2 linked regions of the Schizosaccharomyces pombe genome follow. The protein of the gene in region 1 binds, or shares a complex with, the protein of each later gene. Each region holds a gene or a part of one and is shown on either strand. Other genes may lie near its edges.

Region 1 (3,625 bases):
CAAAGGGGATAGAGGTTTCCGAACCAATATTCTCAAAGGCGGGTAAACTGACAGGCTGATGCGGCTCTAAAGACAAATCCTTTAAAGTTACTTTCTCGGAAGCCGATACTTGTGGTTGTGAAATCGGCCTTTTATTTTCTTCAATCTTATCATGAATAACTGCATCTTTATCTCTAGGAGTATTTGATAATTGATGCAAAATTTCAAGGTTTTCAAAGGGATCGTAATTTGAAGATTTGGGGGTGGAATTGGAGTCCGGAGTTCCAACTTTCTGCCTTTCTAGTTCTTTTAAGGAAATTTTATTATCCGTTTTCTTTTGAAATAAATTAGCAAAAGGGTCTTCGGGCTTTGATGCTTTCAATGGAATTTGTGCATTCTTTTTCTGGGCTACTGGGGCGGGAAGGGAGTAGGATGGCGTTCTACTATTATTATTACTGTAATTATTTTGATTAGATGGTGTAGATTTATCGTAAAAATTGAAATCTAGCAAGTCATCCATGTTGGAGGCTTTATTATGGGAGTGTAGTGAAAGTAGGTTGAACTATCCAAGAACTTAACGTACTGAGTGCTTTCCACTTTTGTCGGCATCAGCTAATTTTCCTTTGATCCATGAAGGAAATTCTAGAATTGCTTGTATTTCCGCTTTTTTCTGGATAAACAGCATTCGCTGTAGCTGTTCACGAACAACGGGCTCCTTTTGGAAGCCTTCAAATTGTAATAATGTTGTAATCATTTTAATATCCCTTTTATTCAATTTTAAAGAGAATTCTTGGTTTTTATTAAAAATGTCCTCATACAGAGGGCCTAAAAGCTGTAAATTTCGTAATTGACTGTGCGGTTCATGACTGTAGGCATTAGAACCGTACTTGAAACAGGAATAAATGCATAAGCCATGGGGGTCCCAATCAAAAATACCAAAAAATTTAGCATCCGGGAGGGCTTTGGCTAATTTAACTAAAAATTTTCTCGTCATCAAATCTGGAAATCCTTTAGCCTGTTACAAGCAATTAGTTAGCTAGCACTCTAACATCAATATCATTGAAAAGGAAGCATTCTCACTTACTGTAACAATTATTGTATCCGCTAAAGCCTCTTCGGTTAGCGTTTGGAATACCGCTTCCTTTTCGATGACCAAGACCCATTTTGCTGTGGAAGTGATTGATGAAATTCGATGGTGAGAGATTAATAATGGCTGTATTTAGTAAAATTCTTAGTTAGAAAAAACAATTTTTACGGTTATTAAAACTTGAACCTACTTTAGTAGCAGTAATTACTGTCCCGTTTTCAAGAGCAATATGAATGGACCCAAATACCAATCCTTTAGCAGATGCTTCCTAAGATCAAATTAATCGTTAATGAATCTATTTCCAAAGAAATGACTTACAACGTTAAGGTCGGACCTGGAGCAACCAATGGTGTTTGAAATATCTCCAAGCAGCTCATCGACTACGGTTTGTCGCTTGAATAAATCTACATCTCTGTAATAAATATCTCTGCAAATGTAATTAGAACTTAAATCTGAATTTTCGGCGTATAGTACAAAGCAATTACCGCTTAGTGATTACTGTATCCGAAATAACAGCTTCATGAACACAATCTAAAACCCTGAATAGTTGAGCAATTGTTGTTTCATTCCTGGGGAATGAAAAAACCTTAACTTTTTGTCTTTCATTGGCCTTTGAATCTAAGCTGCCATTCCAAGAATTGTGCTTTCGTCTTTTCAAAGCAACATTTACTGAATCTTTGGTAGGCTTACTTAATTGCTCAACAAAATCATGAACAAATTGCTCAATCCATGATCTAACAACTTTTTTTTTATCATTCGAATTCATTTTTTTTACTTTCTGGACGCGTTCAGCATTCTTTGCATTGTCTAGATAATTATGCAAAGCGCGTATGGTTACAGTGTAAAAAATCAATAGCTTAATTCAAATAAGCTATATCTAAGCGAGATTGTTTTCTGAAGAAATGATACATACATTCAATAAATGGGTAATATCAAGGCGAAACAGTATATGTGTTTTCGTTAACTGCTAAAAAATACTTACTGAAGACTTTCCTTCTGATAAAATGGTGTAAGAGAAGACTCACGCGAGCTTTGCGGACTGAATTGGTAAATCGTAAAGATGGATCGAAATTTGAAATTCCTAAACAACTTATGTTCTTGTCTACAGAAAAGTTGAAAGAAAAGTAAATATATTTGAACTCTTTCGAGTTCAAATGCAACATACGACAACTAAGAGCCATAGATCAAGCGGTTACTTAATTTATTTCTATAGTTTTAATTTTCTATAAAAATATGTATATCAACTGTTTCAATAAATATTGTACTTATAATTTCGTTTTGCCAACTCCTTTGTCAAGAGAGAAAACGTAATTAAAAAACATGGTCACAGCCAGGTTCGAACTGGCGACATTCGACTTATTAGATCGACATGATAACCGACTACATCATGCGACCAACTGTTAACTTGATGATTATTTAAACCTATTTATAATAACATTAATGTTAAAAATATGAATGAAACTGACCTTTTTATACAAAAGGTATATATATAAACAAGAAGGACTTTCATTTTAATTTTGATAAGACAGTTTGAAATATCCTCCAATCCAATTTAAGATTGTTTCTAGTTTACAGATTTTCAAATCAGGAATTACTAAGTCATTTGCAACACTAAACATGAAGAAGTAGTCTAACTCACTATCTGCTCGATGTATATGTTAGCATATGCTTTCCTTGTGCCAGCCCTAAAGAGAAACTGACAGTGGTTTGCTTTTGCAAATGAAAAAATAAAATTGGAGAACATACAATTGTACGAAAATGCTACCTATCCAAATGGGTCTTTAACGAATTTTTTAAGCTTAAAAGTTGCCATATGTAGTGTGTTTGCTTGATTCATTAATAGTCATTTATTATGGTGCAATACTTCGTCAAGACAATAGTGATAGCTTTTTTAACTTATTGCGAGAACAGAAGATAGCAATTAATCTGATGTACAAATAACGATAATATTCTAATGACATCAATGGAAAACAATAATGAAAATAGGCACTCCATATTGCTTCCCGAAATTTGTACTTGTGGCATAGCAGATAAACAGGACGAACTAGATAAAAAATGAGCAAGGGTTTCTAAAGGAGAATAATTTCATCAAGTTTTTTTTTTTTGCTTCTTCTTAATAAGTATTTAATACTCAAGAAAACGTAGAAACAATTAGGCAACAATAGCACTGTGGTTTACAGTTACCCTTTCTTATACAGAAAAGATAGAGGTTATGACAACTGTTAAAACATGGAATTTTGCATGATGAACCGGTATTACTTTTGTAAGTTAATACAATAACAAAAAGATAAAAGTTAATAGAAAATTTAGGGAAAAAGAAGTGCAAAGCTCTGAGAATCATTCCGATATACTTAGACAATAGTAAAATAAATAAATACTTAGAACACGGACGGATTTTGCAATTTTAAGAATTAGGAAGTCCCGTAGATATTATTTAGAAGAAATTTTCCAAAGCATAAACGAAGTAGATAAGGAAAGAGCATTTTTGGAAAACAAACTTAATGGTCAAAACTATGACCAAATTAAAAATTCACGAATTCATAAACAAACCCAAAAAAC
Region 2 (4,040 bases), on another chromosome or scaffold:
TACGATATTATTTTTAATATTCCTCCTAAATAAATAACATTAATTATGTTGCGCTTCTATACAACTATGCATACTATGTACATCACGCTTTCTCATCTGTAAACACTGAATTGAATACCATGGCTGTTAAGGCTTCTGTATCTGAAAATCGTAATGTATCATCAAAGTTCTCCTTCTTCCTGCACCAAATTGTATTCGATGCCCACGACGTCTCCTGTTCGTATCACCGCTCTGTTAATAACGCCCCAATCGGTTTGTAGATTGGAAACTGCCAACTTTGACTCACTACTGTCTATCGCTCCAAATTCTGCTTTTACTTCTCGTTGATCGTGGAGGTACACAGTGATCGGGATTCGCGCAGAAGCCATTTTTTGATAAAATTTTAGTGTTCGCATCCTCTGGATGTAAGCAGTAGACTTTTTATTATTTTCTGCCATTAGTGTGAAAATTTATCAACAAAAAGTAATCTTGAATTACAAAAAGTCTTCAAAGTAAAGATTATAACATATGCAGTATGTGCATGGTTTTAAACGGTTTGCGTCGTTATCGTATGTGAGAGTAAACTTTCTAGGCACGTAATGTAATACAGTTAAAACACATAAGAAACTAAGCTAACCATTACCTATAAAATAAAAAATAAACTTTTATAGATATTATGAGTCAACTCATGTTTTAAATACAATGGAAACTTTGAATGAGATTCGTATTTCCTTAGGAATTTATGCTTAGATAATTTATATAAAAAGTAAAAGCGTATCGAACGAAAGTAAACAATGATACAAACATACTTGTAATGATGAAAGTGAAAAGAAAAATGCGTTACCCTAAAATAATCCATTTCAAGATCCTTTCGTTTTACGAGTAAAGTGTTGATATTCATAATTAATCCAAATATTAGAAACTCCTTAATTTTTTGCTATTTTTTAAAAACTTTTCCATCGGTCATTAAGAAAGCACAAGAGTGCAATTATTCTGTAGCAGCAGCTCTATACCAACGAATACTTTTATCAGCACCTGCGACGATGAACCCATTTTTATACCATGCCACAGCCCAAATAGCTCCATCCGTTTCACTTTGTGTACTAATACATTCCATGGTGTCAATATCCCAGATTTTGATTTTTCCTTCAACATCAGCCGAAAGCAACAAATCACCTACGGGATTGAAAGCTACTGCAAAAATCCATGCAGCATGACCACGAAGTTGGCCGACTTGATCCCCTGATAAAACGTCGTAGATAGTAATCATTTTAGAATCCCCGGCAGCAGCTAAAAGTGTTGAACCAGGAGAGAACGCCACTGATCGTACAGGGGAAGTGTGGCCCGATAGTACATGAAACAAGCGTCCTGTTTCTGTACTTATAAGGAAAAGCTGCCCAGTTTGATGACCAGAAACGATAAATCTTCCATTGGGAGAATAGTCTATACAAAGACCGAATTTACCTTTGGTATCTAACTCGGAAATTTTGCAATCACTTGGATTGTCCCAGACAGCAATACGCCCGTCTACAGATGTGAAAGCAATCGTTTGTCCATCAGGGCTAATGCAAGAAGACCAGCATTCGCTGGGATGTTGAGCATTATTACCTAAATCATATTCGTTAGAGAAATGCATAGCTTCTTCGTAAAGTAATTCGTACCCAAGTCTCGAAATTCATTAGTTTCAGGATTCCAAACATAAACATCCTGTCCAAATCCGCAAGAAACGACGACGTTTTCATCCAAGCTAGTTGCTAGATGATGAACGCCAAGTTTATGAGGGGTATCTATTTCTTCAACTAAGCTATGCTCAGCATCACCTATAGACCATTTTTTTATTTTGGAATCCCCAGAAGCCGACCAAAGATTGCCTGCGACTACATTGAGAGAGTAAATGTCTGCTTGATGTGCATTTTCTTCTATATGGCTAACGAGATACTCTTTCCTCATAGTATCTAATAAATAAGGAAAATAATACAACAAAATTAGTAATTAAAATGCTGGCGCTTTCCAATACTTTATAATACTTAAACCTGTGACTAGCAGGACTTAGTTTACTGTGGTTGCGTTCTCCTTAGATATACACGGTCTATGCACATACCCTAAACATGTTAGTGAAAAGATGAATTTATAAGTATGAATGAAAGAAAATAATTCTTTTCTGTAGGTAGAAATGAGAAGGTGAGATTATTAGTTGTTAACCGTGACACTGAATTAAATTGTTTAAACTTTTGGCAATAGTAGGTTTTTCAAATTTGAACAATTCGAAGTTTGATCAAATAAAGATGAGCAGATATCAAATGTTAACATCCAGGAAATAAAAAGACCTGGCGCCCATAATTGTCGATTAATTTATATGATATAGATAACAGCAATTACTAAAATTTAAGATTACTTTTTTCCCTTTATCTTACTCGTCTAGTGTAGCAAGTCAAGAGAAACGATAAATAACGCTTCGTGATTCTTGCAATAGGTAAAGTAAATTTGAATAAATTATTTTAGTAGATAACCTAATCATTTCATTATGCAATTTGGAACAACTTGTTTATTCATACCATTTTTTTCGAATGACTTAAACACACTTACAAAACGATTTTTAAAAACGCCACAATTCAGAAGGGAAGAAAGACTATCTTTAATATTGATTTTTAAAAGATACTAAATAAAAAATAAACCAATTTTTAACACTGGAATATGGATGTTTACTCAAGTTCACATAGTGTTGTATTTATAACTTCTACTCCAATGTTTACAGATTTACCGAAATATAACGCGTTACATAAATAACTTTAACACATCGGAAATGGAGTCATCTGACATTAGTAAAAAATCACGCAGTTCTGTGTACAATAACGGCTTAAGTTAAGCACAAGGCTCTTGTTTCCTTTCTTAACACGCCACCTTTCCTCTTGTATATATTCAGAAATTTCCTGATTTCTTAATAATACGTGTTCTAATAAGCACATATTGTCGCTTAGTTACAGGTAAGTTATGAATGAAATGCATTGAGGCTGTAATTGTTGCAATTGGTATTTTAATGTCTCAAAACACTTCTTTAATACTGTTATGAGCTTTTTGTCGAAAATTGCTGGTCTTCTGCTTTCGTGGAAGAAAAGAGACAGAGTCTTTATAATTCATGCTGTTAATGACATTGGCTTGGTTTAAGACCACGATGGTGCTTTTTGTTTGTTTTTATACTAATTCAGCAATTTCGTCTCTTTATCCATTTTTTTCTTAAATTCTCTTTCTTCTTAAGCTAATAAACTTTGTTAGATTATTTCTTTACATACAAATTATAAACTATTCGTTTTACTGTTCCATTTGACGGCAATAACTCCGTCCTTCTTTATCTCTTTTTAATTCCAACCTCGCAACAATGAGTGTTGAAAAGGCCCCTGAACTGCGTGTTCTCTCGTTTAATTGTTGGGGATTGCGCTTTGTTTCCAAGTACCGTACTGAACGTTTGAAAGCTGTTGGCGAAAAACTTGCGAAGTGCGATTATGACATTGTTCTTCTTCAAGAAGTATGGTCGATTTACGATTTTCAGGAAATTCGTAACTTGGTGAGCTGCAATCTTGTCTATTCTAGGTTTTTCCATAGTGCTGCTATGGGTGCTGGACTTGCCATGTTTTCGAAGTTTCCTATCATTGAATCTTCTATGAACAAGTATCCACTTAATGGTCGTCCTCAAGCTTTTTGGAGAGGTGATTGGTATGTTGGAAAGGGTGTCGCTACAGCTAGTTTACAACATCCCTCTGGAAGGATCATCTCTTTGTTCAATACTCATTTGCATGCTCCATACGGTAAGGGTGCTGATACCTACTTGTGCCACCGTCTGTCACAAGCCTGGTATATCTCGAAATTGCTCCGTGCTGCTGTTCAACGTGGTCATATCGTAATCGCTGCTGGTGACTTCAACATTCAACCCCTTAGTGTTCCTCACGAAATCATTACCTCTTATGGTTTGGTCAATGATGCTTGGCTGTCTGTCTATCCTGACCAAGTTGAGCATCCACCTAACCGTTTCAGCATGAATGATAAGGAGTTGGTTGAAATTGCTG

The links. The genes of interacting proteins can lie anywhere in the genome.
Region 2: rec12 (region 1) and rec14 share a complex: the UniProt entries of both Schizosaccharomyces pombe proteins name them as parts of the DSB catalytic core (DSBC) complex.

Annotation. Positions count from the first base shown.
Region 1 is NC_003424.3:1,771,132-1,774,756, reverse strand, and holds rec12 (DNA topoisomerase type II (DSB-forming) Rec12/Spo11), read right to left. Parts: upstream 1,833-3,625; coding exon 1,552-1,832; exon of another isoform or gene 1,494-1,551; coding exon 1,385-1,493; exon of another isoform or gene 1,335-1,384; coding exon 1,257-1,334; exon of another isoform or gene 1,193-1,256; coding exon 1,064-1,192; exon of another isoform or gene 995-1,063; coding exon 554-994; downstream 1-553. Other genes in the region: UBA/TPR/DNAJ domain protein Ucp7, read right to left, coding at 1-499. UniProt on the Schizosaccharomyces pombe protein: Required for formation of the double-strand breaks (DSBs) that initiate meiotic recombination. Required for crossover recombination and chiasmatic segregation of chromosomes during meiosis I.
Region 2 is NC_003423.3:2,784,867-2,788,906, reverse strand, and holds rec14 (Ski complex WD repeat subunit Ski8), read right to left. Parts: upstream 2,013-4,040; 5' UTR 1,930-2,012; coding exon 1,641-1,929; exon of another isoform or gene 1,588-1,640; coding exon 968-1,587; 3' UTR 501-967; downstream 1-500. Other genes in the region: protein Gem7, read right to left, coding at 162-437; inositol phosphosphingolipid phospholipase C Css1, read left to right, coding at 3,356-4,040. UniProt on the Schizosaccharomyces pombe protein: Required for formation of the rec12-mediated double-strand breaks (DSBs) that initiate meiotic recombination.